Linked DNA regions of Solanum lycopersicum. The protein of the gene in region 1 interacts with the protein of each later gene in a pairwise test. Links are inferred from orthologs where the notes say so. Each region holds a gene or a part of one and is shown on either strand. Other genes may lie near its edges.

What was found.
Region 2: the proteins of TCP4 (region 1) and protein FORGETTER 1 interact in binary tests that used the Arabidopsis thaliana proteins (3 or more experiments, as listed by UniProt). The link is inferred for Solanum lycopersicum from reciprocal best matches to the Arabidopsis thaliana genes TCP5 and EMB1135.

The regions. Positions count from the first base shown.
Region 1 is NC_090802.1:61,724,320-61,734,514, reverse strand, and holds TCP4 (TCP transcription factor 4), read left to right. Parts: upstream 1-5,296; 5' UTR 5,297-5,472; intron 5,473-5,757; 5' UTR 5,758-5,795; coding exon 5,796-6,821; 3' UTR 6,822-7,004; downstream 7,005-10,195.
Region 2 is NC_090809.1:681,684-692,757, reverse strand, and holds the start of protein FORGETTER 1, read left to right. Parts: upstream 1-4,794; 5' UTR 4,795-5,041; coding exon 5,042-5,485; intron 5,486-8,425; coding exon 8,426-8,491; intron 8,492-9,013; coding exon 9,014-9,187; intron 9,188-9,261; coding exon 9,262-9,392; intron 9,393-9,609; coding exon 9,610-9,686; intron 9,687-10,326; coding exon 10,327-10,508; intron 10,509-10,674; coding exon 10,675-10,752; intron 10,753-11,074. Other genes in the region: metal tolerance protein 9, read left to right, coding at 1,377-1,599, 1,858-1,970, 2,045-2,290, 2,363-2,443, 2,711-2,941, 3,050-3,394. UniProt on the Arabidopsis thaliana protein: Required for normal embryo development. Necessary to acquire heat stress (HS) memory, by modulating nucleosome occupancy and regulating heat-induced gene expression.

The sequences.
Region 1 (10,195 bases):
ATTTGGTTCTGATTAAATTATGGAATAACTTATCACGAAATTATAATGTTTTTTTTTTATCCCATATCAAAGCTTGGAATGACAATTTCAAAATAACTTATTCTCAATCAATGAGCTCGTGATAAAGTGAAAATTGAACCGAGAGAGTAGTTGAGGAAAAGCATTAATTGCCTCTCCGGCAATTAGAGGGTGGGACTGGTTTGCAGACTGAAAATGTTTCTCAATTTAGAAATGACTTTCAATAATTTTATTAAGTATTGAAAGGGTTTTAAATAACAAACATAAAATATATAATCTGCATAAAATGAAATTTAAACAACCTAAAATATCTCAACAACATAAATAAACTATCTAAAATTTAAATTTATTTAAACTAAATAACTTATTTTGGTAAAAGTTATGCAATAACTAAAAGCAATCTTCAACACTCCTTTGCTTTAGTTATTGCAATTTTTTTTTAAAAATAACCCTTCTCAATTTTTGCTTTGATACTTGATGCTAAAAAAATTTCATTATTCTTTAACTTGCAAAATTTCTTTTTTTTTTTTCATTTGGTTTTGTTTTTTAAAAAATACATGTGATGATATTGTCTTATGTAAAAGTTTTTTTGAAATTGTTTTAATCTGAACTTTTGTATAATTTGTAGAGAGATTGTAAGGGTTTTTCTTTCGTCACAACCTCACATATCACATAGATTTCAAAATATAATTTTATTCTCACACTAAATTTGATAGTTTTTGTATGTGAAAATTTGTGGGGCATGCTTGCCATTATTTTGGTTTAAAAATGATTCAAAAAAAAGTACGTGCTTTGAGAAAAGCACGGGTTAAAAAGGTAGCCTTGCTGGGTTAAAATGAATAGTCTTCATGGGTTAAAAAGGTTGTCCTTACAGGTTAAAAATGTATGATAGTTCTTTGAAAGATTTCAAAAATCACTTAAGATCAATGAAGTTCTGATACCATTGTTAGTGTTTTTCTAAAAGATGGGGCACCACAAAATGATTGAAAATGTTTCTTAGGATTGAAATAGTTAATATAAAATATATAACCTGCATAATTTAAAATTTAAACAATCTGAAATATCTCAACAACGTAAACAAACTAACTGAAATTCAAAATTCAAATTTATTTAAACTAAATAACTTATTTTGCTAAAAGTTACTGCAGCAAACTTCAACAGTTAATTATTCTTTTTTCGTTTTAATTTGTTTGATGCTTAAGAAGCTAAAGAAATTTTTTGAGTGTTATTGTCGAAAATGTTTTTAGTCTTGTAGTTAAATATCATTTTAAAAAATTGAAATTAAAGAACTGTTTTAAAAAAATTACTATAAAAATAGATCAAACAAATTAAAACAAAAAAAACTATCGAATAGGTAAGTGAGAGTTTATCCTTACATTTTTTGAGGGAAATAAGTGGTGATGATGCTGGCCAGTGCCCACACGTACTCCTTCTGGGCTTGAAGTTTAGTAGCAGTTGATAGCACAGTCCATTATTCATTCTGTTAGTCTGCAGGCCAGAAAAATAACAGATTCAGTACTAGTATTATATATGGGACGAAAATAAAAAAGATTTTTTAAATCTTGTAGTCTTATATTTAAAATATAATTAATATATTTTTTAATTTTGTAATCTTAAACATGTTGCGATGGAATTAAGTTGAAATTAAAGAGTTATAAAAAACAGAAAGAGATTATTCTTGTTTCAACAAATTATAAGAAATAGGACAAATAAATTATAACGAAGGAAGTAATTGTAATGTTTCTTAACAGTGGGGCAATAAGTTAATCATGTCAATTTATGATTTATTGCAACCTCTATTTCTGTTGTTGCTTAATTTGTTCTATATTTGGTATAACTTAATTCAAGCACAAATTAGATGAATATGAGTATTCTCTTAGGGCATGTGTGTTTTGACCTAATTAAATTGAAGTTCCTTCCTTCTATTTCTGAATAAATTTTGTGTAGTTATTTTTTTCGATATTTTGAACTCTATTTTATGCTAAGTGTTAGATTACTCACCTTTTTTTTCTTTTGTTGTCTGATTTATCACTGTTTTGTGAGCTTTCGCATGTCACCTAGTTATTTGGTAGGTTAACTTAAAGATTAAGATTAAGTAGGTAAATAATCAGTTTTTATCTAACAAATTAGTTGGGATTTACTAGTGGAAAATTTGACTAGCAACTTGTGAAATTTGTGGCTAGGGTTGTAAACATTGGATGCTTTTTTTGCTCAATATTTATGAACTAAAATTCAGTAATTATAGTATTAGCCTTTGGCCTGTTATGATTGTAGCCAACTCTACTCTTAGAGCAGATTGTGGCCTCTCAAAATATCCATTTTCATTATTGTATTCCTTAGGGTTTAGTGGTGGTAGAAAATAAAGATTAACCTATGAATCAATTATACATCAAAATTAAGTCTTATCGTCTTATAAGTTTGATGACAAATTCAAAATTCATATACTTCAATAGTAATTCTACCTCTGTCAGCATTAACATTTCATCATAAGCAAATTCAAAATTTAAAAATCAAATTTTATTCTACGTACACATACATTTTTTTTATAAAAAATATTAATATATAATTCGAAATCACAAAACCTTTCTCGCAATATCAATATTAATATATATTGAATATTTTTGGTGAATATACCTTCCCTTTTCCAGTTGATTTAATTAGCCAATGGAACAGTAGATTGGAATTTGATCATTCTAATATTTGTCCTTTTCTTTCTACCCTTGTTATTGAATGATAATAGTAATTAAATTTATTAGTGTTACAATACGGTGGTAAGATTGCTTTATCCTTAATTAAAAGTGTCACATTCGAGCCTTAAATATGAAGAAAATCTTGTTAGGAATATCACTCCTAAATGAGCTTGCAATACGCATCCAAATTTAATCAGGACTTTCAATTATTAAAATTAAATTCATTAAGTTAATCAGTGGGTTAAGTCCAAGTTGCTGCTACTGCTGCATGCAAAAAATCTCACTGCAAGTGGCCCATTTTTATATATATATATATATAATATATGTGTACTAAGTGCAAAGTCTTTTAAGAGGTTGTATATTATTATTATTGGTTTATTGGTCCCTCATCTACAATTGAGCATATATATAGCTTTGGGGATACCACTACATCTCCACTAGTTATTCTAATTACTAATAATTTGTTTCCTTTTTGAAACTTAAATAATTAATTACTCATCAACATTCTTTATTTTCATGTGTTTCCTAATCTTTAATTTCTTCATCATAATTATGTTAAAATCTTTCAAAAATGGCACTAACAAATTGTACATATATAGTTTCTTTATAAATTAAAAGATATTAATGTACAAGGATTTCTGGTATTTCTTTTCTGCTAATTTAATTGTGCATGCATATGTAGTAAAAGCTTTTCTCCCTTTTCTTCTATTCAATTTAGGTGACGTACTCGATTAGAAATCAACAATAACAATAACATGTTTAGTGTAATATATCTCATAAAAAAGTTTTGGAAAGGATGATATGTATATGGAGTTTCTCTCTATCTAGTGAAGATTAATAGATATTTTCCGATAGATCCTCGAATTAAGTAAAATATATTAAAGTTATTGAGAAAGGAATAATATAGTGAAGGAACCCTTGTAGAAAACAATGGAGAAAAGAAAATTATAAATAACAAATAGAACGATATTCGAAGTAATAAGAAAATAATAAATAAGTAGAATTAAAGAATAAGATAGTATAAGAGTACCCATAATAATACTGATAAAGAAAATTGGATCACTTTTAAATATTCTCTTCGATCACTTTTAATTGTCATGATTTTTTTTAGAGTGAAATGATAAGAACTTCGATTAATATTTTACCATGATTTTTTTTATCTTATTGATATGCCAAAAAAATGCAATTTGTAGTACTTCTAGTATAATTTTTGAATATCTAATAATCTAATTTAACTTTGAAAATTAATCAAATTGACTTTTTAAAACACAACATGACAATTAAAAACGAACAGAGGGAGTATGAGATGAGTTTAATTAGGATTCGCTTGGACATGCGATACAAATTATGATTTGAAATCAGATTAATTTGAGATTAAACTTTTGTTTGGATGAGTAATTTATATTTCTCGGGTTGTGTTTTTTCTTATAAACATGAAAAAAAAATTCTACAAATTGTATAAACCACCGAAATTTCTCCCATTCTTATACAATCTTAGCAAAGAGTAAAAAATAATTCATAAACAAGAAACTATAACATCCTACGACGCCACATTAAAAAATTACATATCTCCATATATCTTTTTTTATAAATAGAATATTACAATTAAAATTTTTAAATACACAATTATTTTATAAAAATCCACTATTCAACAATTGTAATAACGAGGGAAAAGGTCTGAAAAATACTTCAATTTTGATCGAAATTGCTATTTCGATATGAAACTTTATGGAGAACCTTTTAACCTTCCCCACTCCTCCAAACTATTTAATAGTGTATTTTAAAGGTATATTTATGTCCACGTAGACACATTACTATTTATAATTATGTAATATTTTTATGTCCACGTAAATACATATATACCTTTAAAATACACTATTAAATAATGTAGGGGTAAAATGTCTTTTCTAAAATTTGATACTACAACAATAATATCAATCAAAGTTCAAATGTATTTCACATCATTTTCCCTAATAACTGATTATTATTTAATATAATTATTCTACATGTAACCGACAATATCTCACAACAAACATATATATATATATTCAAAATTTTAAATTCGGATGATTAGTCATTTATTTTAATTTGTACTACTACTATAGTTTGCAGAAAAGCAATAAACCCTTTTCTTTTTTTTTTCTTCTAACCCTAGAGTGGTCCTTGTGAGGTTAACAGTGTACCTTCCTTTCTTAGCATCATTAAATAGAATCAAAACTTAAAATTAAAATATGAAACTACTACAATAACTAGCTTCTTGACTAATAGACTGTTAAAAAAAAAAAACTATTCATGATGGAGTAGTCTAAATACGAGAAATTAAATTTCTATTACATTATTATTTGTAGCCTATGGACAAAGAATTATCGCGATTATATATACAAATACTATAAAAGTTTATATACACAGTAGATACATAATACTTAAAACTTTACATTTTTCTCAACCCTAGAATTGAATTACACACGAGTAAGCGCCACGTGGCCTTCTACTTTCCTCTTTTGAGATAATATTATAACATAGTGAGAATCTAACATTGCTTCTTTTTCTACAAACCATAACTTATCCTTGTAAATTTATTCTCTCTTGTTTCTCTTTTGGTCAAATTTTGTCCATAAACTCATTTTTTCCCCCAAGCCTTGGGAGAAATTATTATAAAAGAAGTTAAATGTTATCAAGAGTTGTTAATTCCATGTTGAGATTTTGCTAGCCACTCAAAGATATATATACAAGTTGTAGTTTATCTTCTACAAAACCTAATTATGTAAGTACAATTCATGATTCTTATAGTAGTAATTGTTTATACAAAATTTTAAACATCTATTTTTTTAGATCTTAGTCATTTTTACAAAGTCTTGGGTGTTTAGTGAAATGATTTTGGAGGTTACCCTAATATTAATCACAACTCCAATTTTCCCCCAAAAATTGCACTATGTACACAAGAAAATTTCCATTGATGGAGTTTTTTTTTTTTGTGTGTATAGTATAATTTGATAATATTTTATCTCGATCTAATAGATGCTTAATATTTTTCTTTGATTTTTACTAGATCGATGCTGATGAAGAACGATATATGATATACATATCATGAATTCATCGAGTGGAAATAATTTTGAGACGAAACAAGAATCAAATAATGATAGTAGATTGGCCTCAAAGACGACTAGTGCACCACCATCGAGTACTTCAAGGCAATGGGGAGCTAATAAAAACCCAAGAATAGTACGCGTATCGCGTACTTTTGGAGGGAAAGATAGGCATAGTAAGGTGTGCACCATAAGGGGGCTTAGAGATCGAAGAATTAGACTATCAGTTCCAACTGCAATTCAATTGTATGATCTACAAGACAGGCTTGGCCTGAGCCAACCTAGTAAAGTTGTAGATTGGCTCTTAGAAGCGACTAAACTTGATATCGATACTCTTCCTCCACTTCCTGTACCACCTGAGTACTTCACTCGGTTTCAACAACCATCTCATGAAGAGTTCTCTGATGTCCGTGCTCAATGGTTGAACGCGAACACATCTTATTTGGAACATGGGAGGAACAAGTCAATCGCTTCAAATGAGGAATCAAATCAAGAGGATAATATGTTTACCTTAGGAAATCAACGATCATCTAATTTACCAGGCATGCCTTTCAATTCTTATAACTATCAATGGGATCATCAGCCTAATTCGAATTTGTCTTTAGGTCATTTTGGACATAATCATTCATTTTCATCCCAAATAGATGATGATCAATCTCATCAAAATACTAGTTTCCCTCTATCTTTGGGATCATCATCTTCGCCTTTTCCCTCGAGTTCTCAATTGTATTTCAATCCAATAACAACAACATTTCAACCTATAGTTCCATCTCCTAACTATATAACAAATCATCATCCCATTGAGAGTCATGATCCAAGGGCTAATATGAACCATTTCAATTTCTTAAGCTCAACTACTTCACACAATAATCAACTTGTGATGCCAACTCTTAATTTGATTAGTTCCCAAATGAAACCCTTTAGTCTCAATAATGATCCTAGATGGATGAGTTCCAGAGATGATGAAGATGACGATGATGACGATGATGATGATGATAATCAACCACATGAAGGTCGCGCAATTTGATTCTAAGCCAAGTGGAGGAAATGAATCTTCGTCTTTACTTCAAATATTTTGAATTAAAGTTGTTGTCCTGGATTATAATCATGCTACATTATTCCTTCTTCACAGGTACAACAAATAATTAAAGTGAATCATTCTATTTCTTATACCATATAGGTTTATAAAGTTTTAATCTCTATTCTGAAATATACAAATATTAATCTGTAGTTTTTTTTTTTGGGTGATTCAAGTGGTATAAATCTACATTATTATTGGTATTGGATTAACCTTTAATTTATACAAATTGAAAGTGTGTTTAGCATTAATTTTTTCAATTTTGTTTTTCTTGGATTTGCATCATTAATATGTCATGGTTTAACCGAAATCTCGATAGTAGAAACTCTAATCGAAGCAAAGGTTGGGTTTATTCTCGACTCTCACAACCTTAAGGTAATTGCAAATATGATGCAACAGATCTGGAACTATAGTTACGTAGTCAAGTCAATCAGTTGTTGTTGGTATCTTCTTCTCATTTTTCTTTATTTCATTATCAGAGCTCCGAGAAGTAAGAGATAAAGATGTTGAAGAATATAGTGAAAAATCCATAATAGGATCTAACCACAAAGTATGAATGATTTTAGCCAATAAAAATATTTTATAGAAGGTAAACGAAACTATTCAAGTTCAATTTTGTCATGTAAAATTGATACATAACATATCATGCTTAGCTGTGTACTAATGATAGACGTAATAACTAGTAATATAATTAATTACTCCATTAATTTGTTTTAATCTAACTAGAAAACAAAAAGTTTCTTTCATATCTAATTAGGTTTTTAGACGAATTAGTTGGAAAATAAGAGGAAGAAACTTAAAAGTTTTACTCTTTTAAGAATGAGTCTTAGGTCTCATTTGTTTTCATTAAGATTAAGATGTTAGAATCTTAATGCTTGTCTGAACATTAAAATGTAGTTTCTAGATTTGAACACTAAATGATTATTTATTTTCAATATATGAATGTGCATGATATTTTTTAAAAAAATTAGGAATTAAATATTATATCAAAAAAAGTTATAATCTAAACCAAGAATACTTCTTCTAAAAAATTGTTTCAAGAATAAGATTATAACTCATCCCTAGAAAAGACGATTTATTTGTTTTCTCATGAAACAAAGATAACTTTTCCAAAGAAGTTTTGACAACAAACGAATTGTGACATGAAGAATTTTTCATAAATATCAATTCACCCAAGAATATTGTATACATTAAAAATATTATGTAAATACTTGTAAAAGATTATGAAAACTTACTTATTCAAAAGAAAAAAAAATATTTGGTTGGAAAATGAGAGGAAGACTTAAAACTTGTCCTGAAGAGAAGCAAGGAAGAAGAAAATGTGTTTATGAAAGAACTTCTATTATTTCAATAGAGTAAGATGGTATTAAGACTCTGTTATAAATCTGATTCATTCAGATTCATTAAGACCCAATAAGATTTTTTTTAAAAAAAGAAACAAATAGACTTAATGGAATGAATCTTAATGATTAAAATCAAACCTAAAATCAAACGCACTTATGGGTTGAATCTAAATGATTAAGATTCAGACTCTCATTAAGTGCAAACAAATGAGGCATGTCTTACGTTATAAAGCATGAATAGGTGTCGAGTTCAAGTCTCAATGCCACTCATTATCGGATTTTCACGTTATTAGAGTCGGGTGGTACTAGAGACATACACTACACAAAAAATGATCAATAGCTTAAGCCTATCTCGGCATTGAATCTAATAATATTTAACTAATATCGGTAAAATTTTTAATACTTTTGGTAAATATTAATGTGCATATTTATTTTTGTTAAAAGTTATTTTTGTCGTAGTGATATAGTGATCCATCACTAACATACTTCCTTATTTTGTTTTTGATGCAAGCTATTCTTATAAACAAAATTTAGTTGTTACTCTTCTTCTTTTTTTTTACCCTCCTCGGAAGTTCTCACCTTTTTGCTTCTTTGGTAACTAAAACTCGCAACCTTCGAATTGAAAGTGAAGGATACTTTTCATGCGAGCAACTTTCTCTCGTCTAAGATGTTTCTCTATAAATTGCAATCATTTTTTTTACACTACTCTAATTTGCTTGTTATTTATTGGAAGTAATTAACCTGTATGAGTTAGAATATATTGGCAGATCTTGGACTTAATTGTTTGTGAGACCACAACGATATTTGGGACCAAAAGCATCTAAAAGTTGCTTCCTGGAGCTTGAAAATAATCTATATTATTATTGTACAATGTTGACAATTCCTCTCCATACTATATCCACCTAGCCTTAAATATCATATGAGATGGTCACACACTTTTACATATGGTATCAGTGTCACGTGTTTGGCCTACGAAAAGAGAGTCACGCCCACACATAATCACGAGACATATTGAATATGCTTTCTCTAAGAAACTGATAACTTAAATTTTTAGATAAGATGATTACATATTTCAACGTTCCTAATAAACGGAGTTGAATTTTATTATCTGCTATCTATGAAACTGCATGCCTGCAAAATTGAAGAAGTAATTCCTTGTTAGTTGTTACTATGTAGTATATTAGTTATTATCAACATGGATTGTGGTGTATTACTAGTCGGGAGTGTTTTATTTTTAATCAGAGATATTGGGTTCGAGCTCTTGGTATGGAGAAAATACTATTTGGAGCGTTACCTTGAATGGACCCTGCAGTGCGCGATCTAGATTTAATTGAAGTTCTAATGTGAATTCTAGACACTAAACGAAAAATTAAAAAAATAATAATTATTACTATACCCTATTTGCCGACCTAATCAACCCTTTGTATCTAAATTAATAATTAATTAGCTTGATATAGACATAGATGTAGAATAATAGTATAGTCATATATAGGAATGGTATATTTCCCCGCATGCATATAGATGCATGTTAAAGTCCACCTCCTACGCTCATCAACCACTTAATTAATGTTGTCAAGATAAGTTTAATTTTCTCTTAACTAATTAAACATGTAATTGGCATTCTACGTATATTATGACAGGTAGGATATATATAAGTTCATTTGTTTAATTTTATATACGTGTAAATATCTACTTGTGTACGGAGCATAAAATTTTTTGAAACACCTTGAAGTATTAAAAATGTCATGTTTGTTGCTTGTTAAATTAAAAAGAAAAAGATACAGTCTTTTTTAAATAGTGTAAAAAAAAAAGAAGGTAAAACGAATAAATTTGTCCATGTACTCTTCGAAATTAATTAAGTTGTCCCCTGGTTCTTTTCTAACCCTTCTCTACAAGCTTCGATCCATTTTTGCTCTCTTGGTTACTCAAACTTACAGTATTTATATTATTGAAAGTGAGTGGTGTTTACCATCTCTCTCG
Region 2 (11,074 bases), on another chromosome or scaffold:
AAAAGTTGTGGAGTAGAATGCTCCATTTTGGTTATGGATTGAGTTTCATTACTATCGTACTTTAGTTTACAATAATTAAACAGTTGGACATGTATGATTGATTATATGCTGTCTTTTCACAAGGATGTAATTTTATACTCTTGCTACTATGGAGAAGTGGCAATTTTCTTGCTTAAAAGGAGAGCACACAATTTGTTAATTTGCCGATTACTTCTGAACTTAATAGATGATATCTAACTGCTACAATTACACTCTTGATTCTCTGATTCACATTGTCATCGTGAAGGCTTATATATATCAAAAACTAAATAGTTTAAAAACAAGTGTCTCTGATTTGTAATCTACTTGTAGTTGTAGGATGAGTGGTGCTTCCAATTTGTGCTTTATGAAGCACTTGGAATAGAAAAGGACAAAAAAACGAATGTTTAGTGCATATTCTTTTTCACTTTCATGCCTTGTTTTTAAATGTATAATGGAGAATGACGCATCATAAAGCTAGTAAAAGAAGAAAAAGGCTGCAAGATTCATGCAGCAATGTTATATGTGGAGTAGTTGGTTTTTTTGCCAATTAAAGTTTGAATGCTACGTACTCCGTATTTCTTATCTGATAAGACTTACTAGTACTCACTTAAGGGTTAAGAGTTGTAGTCCATTCGAATTATTGAGTTTTAAATTAATAACTTATACATATCTAATATATTTCTTGAGGCAAATATAGAAATTTGCTCAAACTACTACGTGCTCAAAAGGAGTACTATAACTTTATCATTATTAAAGAAGAAAGTATCTAACTTTAATTAAATGACGACTTATACAGACTTGCTCAAGTAGTTGAACAGTCATCACTGATCTGATCGGTTAAAAGTTTGAATTATGTTAAAGGGTAAGTGAGAATATTATTGATCTTTTCGAAATGAGTCGGATAAATGAGAACATTATTAATCCTCTCGAAATGAGACGGATAAGTGAGAACATTATTGATAGTCAGAACATAGATATGGATAGATGACTGTTGTCGTGCTGCAATGGAGTAGATATCAAATGCATGATGACTGTTAAGTAAAACAATATTTTTATAATCCAATTCTACGTCCATACTAACATGTACTAGGGTAATTTAATTCATTTTTTTGCAAGTATTTTAATGCCTTTTTCATTTCCTCAGCTATTTGATTTTACATGTAAATTAAGAAGAACGAAAACATTTTTATATATATATAAGAACTTTCAAATATAAAAATGCATTGTTAACTGATTTTATCATAAAAATATTGTGGTTAACAATAACCATAAAGATGATGACTCTTACTATATAAACAGCAGAAAAACTAATTGTTCAGTAATATCAGTACGTAACTATTACGACTACTATAAACATGGAGATCAGTCGGAGTAATGTTGGTGGCGGCAGCAATGACGGCCCTCTGTTCGACAGTTTTAGGACGGAACTGCTGTCTCCGGCTGCCCAGGCGGTGGTTGATCAGATTCAGTCATCATCTTCCGCGTCATGGAGGCTTAACGTTAGTGAATTTCATCTTCCAGAGCAACGACGCTCTGATCCTCGCTGCTTCAGTGTCCGTCGTCTCCTTCCCACTCCCAGTATGTATCTGTTCCAATTTATGTAGCACAGTTCAAATTTCGAGAGTCAAATAGTTTAATTTGGGCTTGTAATCTTCAAACAATTCCAATTTATGTAGCACAGTTCAAATTTTGAGAGTCAAATAGTTTAATTTGGGGATAAATCTTCAAATGTAAAATACAGTCAATTATAAACTTGTTTGAATTTCGAAATTCAAAAAGTAAGTAGGAATTCATTTTCCAGTCGCGATTTCTGTTCTATTGCGTGATAATTTACAGGGAAACAGGGTAAAATCGCGGAATATTACAAAAGGCAGGAAAGGCTTGTAGAAGGGTTCAATGAGATGGATACCATTAATGAATCTGGTTGTTTACCTGCAAGTCTAACTGAGGTTTGTTTGTTTGTTTCTTTAAATTGCTCGAGAAGGCGTAAATTGACTCTTGCAATCATTGTGTACTTTATCAGGACGAAATGAAGCAGCTTGCTAGGAGTGAAAGGATGGCTATTCATTTATCAAACATGGCTAATGTGTTACTATTCGTAGCAAAAATATACGCATCTGTTCAGAGTAAATCATTGGCTGTTATAGCATCGACGTTGGATTCTCTGTTAGACCTTTTATCCGGGTTTATTCTGTGGTTTACTTCTAATGCCATGAGAAATCCAAATCAGTATCACTATCCTATTGGGAAAAAAAGGATGCAGCCTGTGGTGCGTGATCATACTCAGTTTAATTCATTTGTTCTATTGTTTTCTTAACTCATTCATTGCTATTTCGTTCAGGGTATTATTGTTTTTGCATCTGTAATGGCAACACTAGGATTACAAATACTGTTTGAGTCTGCAAAAGAACTTATAAATCAGGTATGTCAATTGCTGAGAATGGATTTTGCACAGCAGCTGCTACCTTATGATGATTGAGTTTTGAAAATTTGAATTCGTACTACTAGAGATCAATCGTTAGAATTTGTCCCTCGATTTTGAAATACTAGGAAACGGAAGGGCAAAACGATAGGTTTTGGTACTTCTACTGTTGAATAGATATTGCAATTTCACTAGCAACTGCATTACACTTGACTTGTTAACCTGCATTTGTTGTTTGGATGGTTCTATCTATGTGTATGAGATCAGTCTCGCCCTGAGATGGATCACGAGAAGGAAAAATGGACGATTGGGATTATGGTCTCGGTCACAATGGTCAAGTTTCTGCTTATGGTCTACTGTAGAAGGTTCAAAAATGAAATTGTAAGAGCTTATGCCCAAGACCATTTCTTTGATGTCATAACCAACTCAGTTGGATTAGTGACTGCTGTCTTAGCAGTCCGATTCTACTGGTGGATCGATCCTGCAGGAGCTATCATAGTGAGTTCACAATCACAAGTCACAACTTTCGATTAGTAGCAAGACATTGTTTCACACTGCTGATAATCTTAAAAGTCTTTATATATATATAACACATTGTACTTTCAGATAGCTCTGTACACAATTAGCACGTGGGCGAGGACAGTAGCAGAAAATGTCTGCTCACTCATAGGAAGAACAGCTCCACCAGACTTCCTTACGAAATTAACCTATCTTATATGGAATCATCATGAAGAGATCAAGCACATTGACACGGTTAGAGCATATACTTTTGGCGTAAATTACTTTGTGGAAGTTGATATAGTGTTGCCAGAGGACATGTTTCTGAATCAGGCACATAATATTGGTGAAACACTGCAAGAAAAACTGGAGCAACTCCCTGAAGTAGAGCGTGCTTTCGTCCATATTGACTTCGAGTTTACTCACAGGCCAGAACACAAAATCACAGTGTAATGACATACATACTAGTTGCATCAAGGACCTTTACTCAAAATAATATTTATGTTGAGTTGAATCCATGAATTATTCAAGATCATTGGCTTAGTCCAGATGAAAGAAAAATCTAGCGAAGTTTCTTTGTTTGATAAGGTAACAATTTTATTATTGAATTGAGCAATAAAAAGCTAGTTGAAAACAAGAAGTATATCAAAATGTAGAGAACTTATAAAAAACGGATATTCAGATACTTATTCAAATTCACACATCTTATGAGATCTTAATATGAGACCTCAATCTTATTATAAAAAAATGGATATTCAGATACTTATTCAAATTCACACATCTTAATATGACCTTAATCTTATAAACAAAAGAAATACTATGGGTGCACCAAAAGGAATCATGGACAAAAGATTTACTCTTCTTTTTTTAATCAAGATAAAGAATGTCATTGAGATAGATTGTTTTTGTTATTTTTATTGTTTGAACGCCTCTAAAGAAAAAAGGTGATATAATAGGTTAGAATTTGTTCTCTCGCTCCTTGCTGGAGGAGCGACATACCAGAAAAAAAGCCCTTTTTTCATGAGCTTAAGTATTATAATCACTAATGAGTTGTTGGCGAGAATTATACAATTTTGATATCGCTTTATCTTTAGCTTGTATAATTACAATCATAAATTAGATTTTTAAAGTTATTTAAGAGTTGCAAAATTATAGTTATTAAATAAGAGATGAGATTTAATCGTGAGCTCAAACTTTTGAAAAACGGGTCAATGAATCAGGCGAGTAAATTTTTTAAATAAATGAATTTTATTTTAATATCAATCTATCACGTTCAAATTTAGAAATATCAAGTTCTGAATATTTTATTTGATGTGAATGTCCACTATTAAATGTAGTTTCTCCATTACGATTCACTATTGTGTTCCACCTCCTCAATGATCTCTATTTCTTCTAACTTCCATGTCTCCCATATTCTCCATAATCTTTTTCTTTAGGAGTCTTTTGATAATTAGATAAGAAATGAGTTATTTATATATTAATTTTCATGTAACTTAATCAACATGTGATTGATAGAAAGAAAATAAGTTATTAATTATAGAATTCATAAAACGTTTGATTAAACATCCCATATAACTAATACCTGGTTATATGTATATGTTGCAAGAATATTTACATATTATTTTATGCAAGATGAAATGTATAATAACAATCTTATGAATAACTAATCCCTGCATGTGCATGATTAATACATTATACATAAATTCGCTCATAATAATTTCTACATCACTATTTACATAACTCTAACTAGCTATCAAATAAAGAATGTAAAAAAAAAATTAATCGAGGATATTTATGTGTCATTCTTAATACATTAGGGGTAACTTTAGCCATTTTCCATTCTTTTATGGGCCAAACAACTCAAATAAAAACTCACTCGTCCATTTATCTGTGTAAAGTATTGCGACTCGCCGGAAGCGGGAGCATCAGCCCCAAAGCCCATGAATTAAGGACAACCCAAAACTCACCGGACATCGCCGGCCTCCTCCGCCGGCTGTTTAGTTGACGGAAACTTCTGTTCTCGCATCGTCACTACTGAATTCAGTCACAACATTTCAGTACATTTTGATTTCAACGTTTGTTAATACATATAGTAATAATATGGGACAGCAATCGGTGCCGACACCTTCAGTTAATCTTCCATCTCTACCACCACCGTCGGCGAGTAGTTCAGATAGTGGAGGAGGTTGTCAAGTTCGATGTGCTGGTTGTAAGATGATTTTGACAGTCGCTCCCGGACTGACAGAGTTTATATGCCCTACTTGTCAATTGCCGCAGATGCTACCTCCGGAACTCATGCCTCAGCAGCAGCGAAGCAGTGCCCTGGCTCATGGAATTGATCCTACCAAGATCCAGTTGCCCTGCGCTCACTGCAAAGCTATACTCAATGTCCCTCACGGCCTGTCTCGCTTCTCCTGCCCTCAATGTGGGATCGACCTTGCCGTTGATGTATCTAAGATTAGGCAATTTCTTCCTCAGTCGTCATCGAATCCTGCTGCTCCCCGTCCCCCTGCGCCACCTCTGCCTGAGGAAGAAGTCAATGAGGTTTTCAGTCAAAACTAATCTTCCCAACCCCATTTTATTGTATTCTTAACAAAATAACCAAAATTTGAAGGCAATGTTTTTGAACTTCCCCACTTGTGGGATTACACTGGGATTTCTATGGGATTTCCAAAATCAGTGTTCGTTATTCCTTTTCTGCCACGATGAGATTAGTACCTATTGGATGGCTTTTATTTTATGTATTGCGCGTGGTTGCCAGTTTTACTTTAACCATACTAACTGTTTTTTTGTTGCTCTTAACCAAAATTTTCCACATAAAGCTAGCCTCGCTAAACAACCATATATTTCAATTAGTTGATTTCTAAGTAGCTTAAGGTATAAAAAATCAACTAGAAGGTTATTGACAAAGTTTGAATGCCAGACATATCTGTTGGAGCATCTTATAAGGATTATGCTGTGTAGAATCCTATCATAGAGAAGTTTGAGAAACATCTTGCATGGTGCCCAAAAAAGAAAACTTTCATAAGGAAAGTAGCTTTGAATCTTGATAGAGAGTAGGGTGGAGCTAGGAGGGTGCAAGGGATTCACCTGGATCCCTTTTCTTTTGGAAAAGTATACTACATTGTACATGCAAGTTTAAGGCTATTCTTTAATATATAGTAGATGTTGAATCCCTTTGGCTTCTTTGTTTGTTTACTTTCTTTGTTTTGAATCTCCTTATTGAAGATAGTGGCTCAACAACTTCTCTAACATACCAATCTATTATATATCGTTGATGTTCATCCATGTAAGTGTGGTGCAAAAGTTGGAAAGAATGCTGAGGAACGTCTGATGGTATGAACATAGGAGGTGAAGAAGTATCCTTGAGTTAAGTGGGGACCCTTGGCTCGAGTATAACATATCAAAATAATGAAAAAAAAGAGGGGAAATGATAGTGGAGAAACAAAACAACTAATAAGGAAACAGTAACAACCACAAAATAATGCAATAAGCTAAACACAATCAACAACAAGTAATGCTGGAATCAGAAGCCAGATTCTATTAGAAAACAGCTAAACCCCTCAAAAATCAAGACAACACTCTATACTTACTAACCTTTTATCGCATTACGCGATATATATATATATATATATATATCAATCTAAACTTCTCGCCTTGGTCATGGATGTAGTCAAGGCACCCAAGGTAAGTTGACCAAATCTGGTGTGGATCCCGTACCCACACCCCTGTTGTGTCGACATGGTGTCCTTCCTCTGGCATACAAATCCTTCCATTTTTTTTCTTCTTCCCTTTCACTATTGTGTTATCAAATGACCAGTTATCAATATTGTTCTTTGTAGGTCTAGTGATAGTTATTGTTTCCTCTAATGTAGATTCTAACAAGTAACATGTAGTTTTTTTTATGGGAATCTCTATATGTACCCTGTTATGCAAAATTCTTTGCTTTAACTACAGGTAAACAATTTCATATTATAAACCAAAAGGCCAAAAAAATCTGCTGTATACAAGAAGTATACCAAAAAGTAAAAATCTACAAAAGATATGGTTCTCTACAAAAGACGCCCAATCCTCTATAGATCCCGGTAGCCTTATGTTGATGATGCCTAGTCAGAAGCAAAAAATTAATTTCCGTATCCAACATCTATCTGGTTTATTAATGCCCAACAAATTATCTCTCGCACATTAGATCTCAACATTAGCTCATAAGAAGCAAAAACAAAAATTAGGCATTAAATCAGTTTAGCATTAACTTACAATAATTTTTTGTAGAGACACCCAAACGGAAACAAAAGAAACAATCAACCTTTTGGGAAAGAGGGTGATGCACGGAGAAACTGATAAAACTCATGGAGGGACAGAGGGTTGACAAAAATATGAAGCAAATGCTAAAAATAAATAATATTCCCTCCGTTTAAAAAAGAATGACCTAGTTTTCTTTTAGTGTGTTTAAAAAAGAATGACCCCCTTTTTTTTGTCAACACTTTAGCTTCAACTTTTGATGTGACATGTTTAAGGCCCAAGATTAAATGACATTTTGGTACATTTGACATAACTTTTATTTAGAACCACAAGATTTAGAACTCTTCTTTCTTTTCTTAAACTCCGTTCCAAATTAAACTATGCCATTCTTTTTGAAATGGAGGGAGTAATGGACAGCACTGTGTCAAAGAGGTTAACACCAAGACCAATGAAGATCAGGTGTAGCGTAAACAGTTGAGCCTCACCATAACATTATTGATATTCAGCAAAAATCGATCAATAAGCACAGACTAATTTAGGGTTAACACTGCAACAACTTCTTGTTGAGGAATTTTATATCCTCTGCTTAAGATATCAAATAGTAATAGAATTAGTAACAGCAAAATATAAAGACATAAGTGAGAGTAGAAATAGAAGAAGGAACCATAGAAATTGTACTATACAAAGAACCATCCACTAAAGAAGGAACAAAGAAGCAGAAGGAAAATGGGAAATAAAAAGGTAAACACGTGTCACGAAAAAGAGGAGAATTGAATTGAAGTGTATATAAGAGAAGAGAAAAGATATTCAGTACCAAAGACATATGTCCATGTATGATAAAAAAGAGTAAGGTTCAAGTGTATAGTTTATATTACTTTTGGTACAATTGCCCAGTGCAATGTTCGTACATCCCCTTCGTAAATATTTGTTACTTTTGGTATAACTGTGCACTTCAGTGTTCATCCCCTCCTCATTTATATATAGTAGAAAAGTACAAGTCTAAGTAGCATTTTCTGTATCACCAGAATAGTGTTCTAATGAGAAAGGTTGTGCTCAACAATTAGAACTTATGGAACAATTTTTGATGGATCAGGCTCAATAATTGCAAACTCTTCTGGTTAATTATTTCTGCCGCTCTCTTCTGACCAGATGATGTGTATACACCAATCGACCTTATTTATATCGTATAGGAAACTTTGTTCCATATTTTTTAGTTCTCAACATTGCATCGTGATGTTTCAGGTGGCCATTGAAGTAGAACGTGAAGAAGACGAGGGTGGCATGGTTGGAGAAACTTTTATGGACTACGTATGTTTTCTTTGCTATCTCAGCATTTACTCCTAGTAATGTAATAGTGGGAGAAATATGTGTTTTGCCTTCAATTATTTTTAATATGTAAAATTCTGTAATGTTGTAGAAGAGAGAATGGGAGAACACGAAAAGCCTGTGATAATGGCTGTAGAGAGTGGGATGGAGTAAAAGAGAGATGAATATGTTACTTTTGTTACAATGACTGACAACTTAGCAATGACTTTATTAACTGTTCGAATTTCTTTGCTAACCAGTTTAAAAAATAGAGAGGTTATTGTAAGCCTATCATTGGAGAAACGTGTGATACCGTTTTGTGGATGCTAACTCCAACAATCCCCTCCTCTCCCTAAATGTGGTCGCGTGATACCGTTTTGTGGATGTTAACTCCAACAATCCCCTCCTCTCCCTAAATGTGGAAGCACATAATATCATCATTGAATATAACCTTTTGAGATTTTCATGTTAGCATGTTCATGTTGATCCTCTTCATTCTTATTTTCTTGTCCTGTTTTAACACAGCGGCCTCCCAAGCTATCTATTGGACCTCCGCATCCTGATCCTATCGTGGAGACATCTTCCTTATCTGCAGTACAACCACCTGAACCCACCTATGATCTTACGATCAAAGAGGACTTGGAAAGCTCTAAAACATTGTCCTGCCTGCAAATTGAGACATTGGTTTATGCTTGTCAGGTTGCTATTCAAACTCATGTTACTCAACTCTGTTAGTAGGCTCTTAGCTTATAGTTACTGTTTTCCTGTAACAGAGACACCTTCAGTTCCTTCCAAATGGTACTAGAGCAGGATTTTTTGTCGGTGATGGTGCTGGTGTGGGGAAAGGACGAACAATTGCTGGACTAATATGGGAGAATTGGCACCATGATAGAAGGAAAGCATTGTAAGTTCTCAAGTAAAAGAAGTACATTGCTGTACTTACCACTTAAAAGATTGCATTATTGAATCTTAATCTATTCTAATATCCATTTAATGGTTGTCTCCTTGTTGCTAAAATGATGACTGTACTCCTAAAGAATCTGTTTTTCTTCGTTTATGATCAAACACATGATAGTTTCTACGATTAAATCTTATTGTTTCCTCCTAATGCTTTTCCCCAGGTGGATTTCTGTTGGTTCGGATTTGAAATTTGATGCAAGACGAGACATGGATGATGTGGGAGCTACATGTGTAGAAGGTAGTTACTGAGAATCTTCAGTATGGTCTTGGTTAAATGCTGCATACGATCTACCTATTCCTTTCTCCGTTTGTTTATGTTAGTTTGTGCTTTTGTGTTCTTTGATGCTTACCCATTCCTTAAGCTTTTGAAGTTTAAGGGATATAAACTTCGAGCACCTTTTTGCTTTCTATGTTCTTTTTTCTGGGAACTGCAGAGATCAACTGATAACTCTGGGAGCCTGGATAGACGCTGTCGCAATGGGGTCTTAACTACTCTATTAGAATCTAAGAAAGGAAATACAGATAAGATGTTGACTTTGTAGTTTGGGACAGTTATGACTATCTTTCGATATATGTACTTGGGTTATTTGTAGTAAGTGGTCAAATTTGGTTATTTTGGGTCAATTCATGATGTATATGTACCACATTCTACTGTTTTCTATGAGTTGCTTTTGTTGGTGGAATGCTACTTAAGATTTTTCTGAGTTATCAACTGAATGTATTATATTGTGAAATCGTGCATGGATTTTATGTGATTTTTTTTTTGGATAAAAGTAACATGGTTTTTTATGCAAATTTTTTCCTTTTATCATTTCCTATTCAAATGGTTAATGACTGAATCGATTTTGTAACTGGAAATCTATAAATTTCTCTTGTAGTGCATGCTTTGAACAAGCTACCTTATTCTAAGCTTGACTCAAAGTCTGTTGGCGTCAGGGAGGGAGTTGTTTTTTCAACATACAGCAGTCTGATAGCATCTTCGGAGAAAGGTCGGTCCCGTTTGCAGCAGCTTGTACAGTGGTGTGGGCCAGAATTTGATGGTCTTGTCATATTTGATGAGGTATAATTTCAAAATAAAAAAAATTCCTTTTGGACCAAGTTCAGTATAGTTTGCACAATGAATATTATGTATCATTGTAATGGATTTTATCAGTTGTGCAAATTCTTGAAAGAAAGAGACATCCAATTTGTTGCACTTAGCTATAACTTTTATTATTCATTTGTAGTGTCACAAGGCAAAAAATTTGGTCCCTGAAGCTGGGGGACAGCCAACTCGAACTGGTGAAGCTGTACTTGAAATCCAGGTTTGTTTTTCAAATTGAGTCATTGAATTTCGGTAAGATGTGGTTTCCACCCAAATTAAGTCATGAATCGCAGGTTGTCAAAAACAAATATGCATCTTATAAGTTAGTTAAATGAGAACAAGAAACGTGTTATTTATATTTGAAAAGAGCGAGTCTTATAAGTTAGGAAAGTTAATGCATATAATACAGTGGAAAGTAGTTAAGCTGGAGATTTGCACTCCCAAAAGCAAGTTTAGATCTCTTCCCTCCATTCTATATATATTCTTTTGAAGTTGTGAGCTTGGGATGTTTGCCAAATATATTTGCCAAGTAATGGTAAATT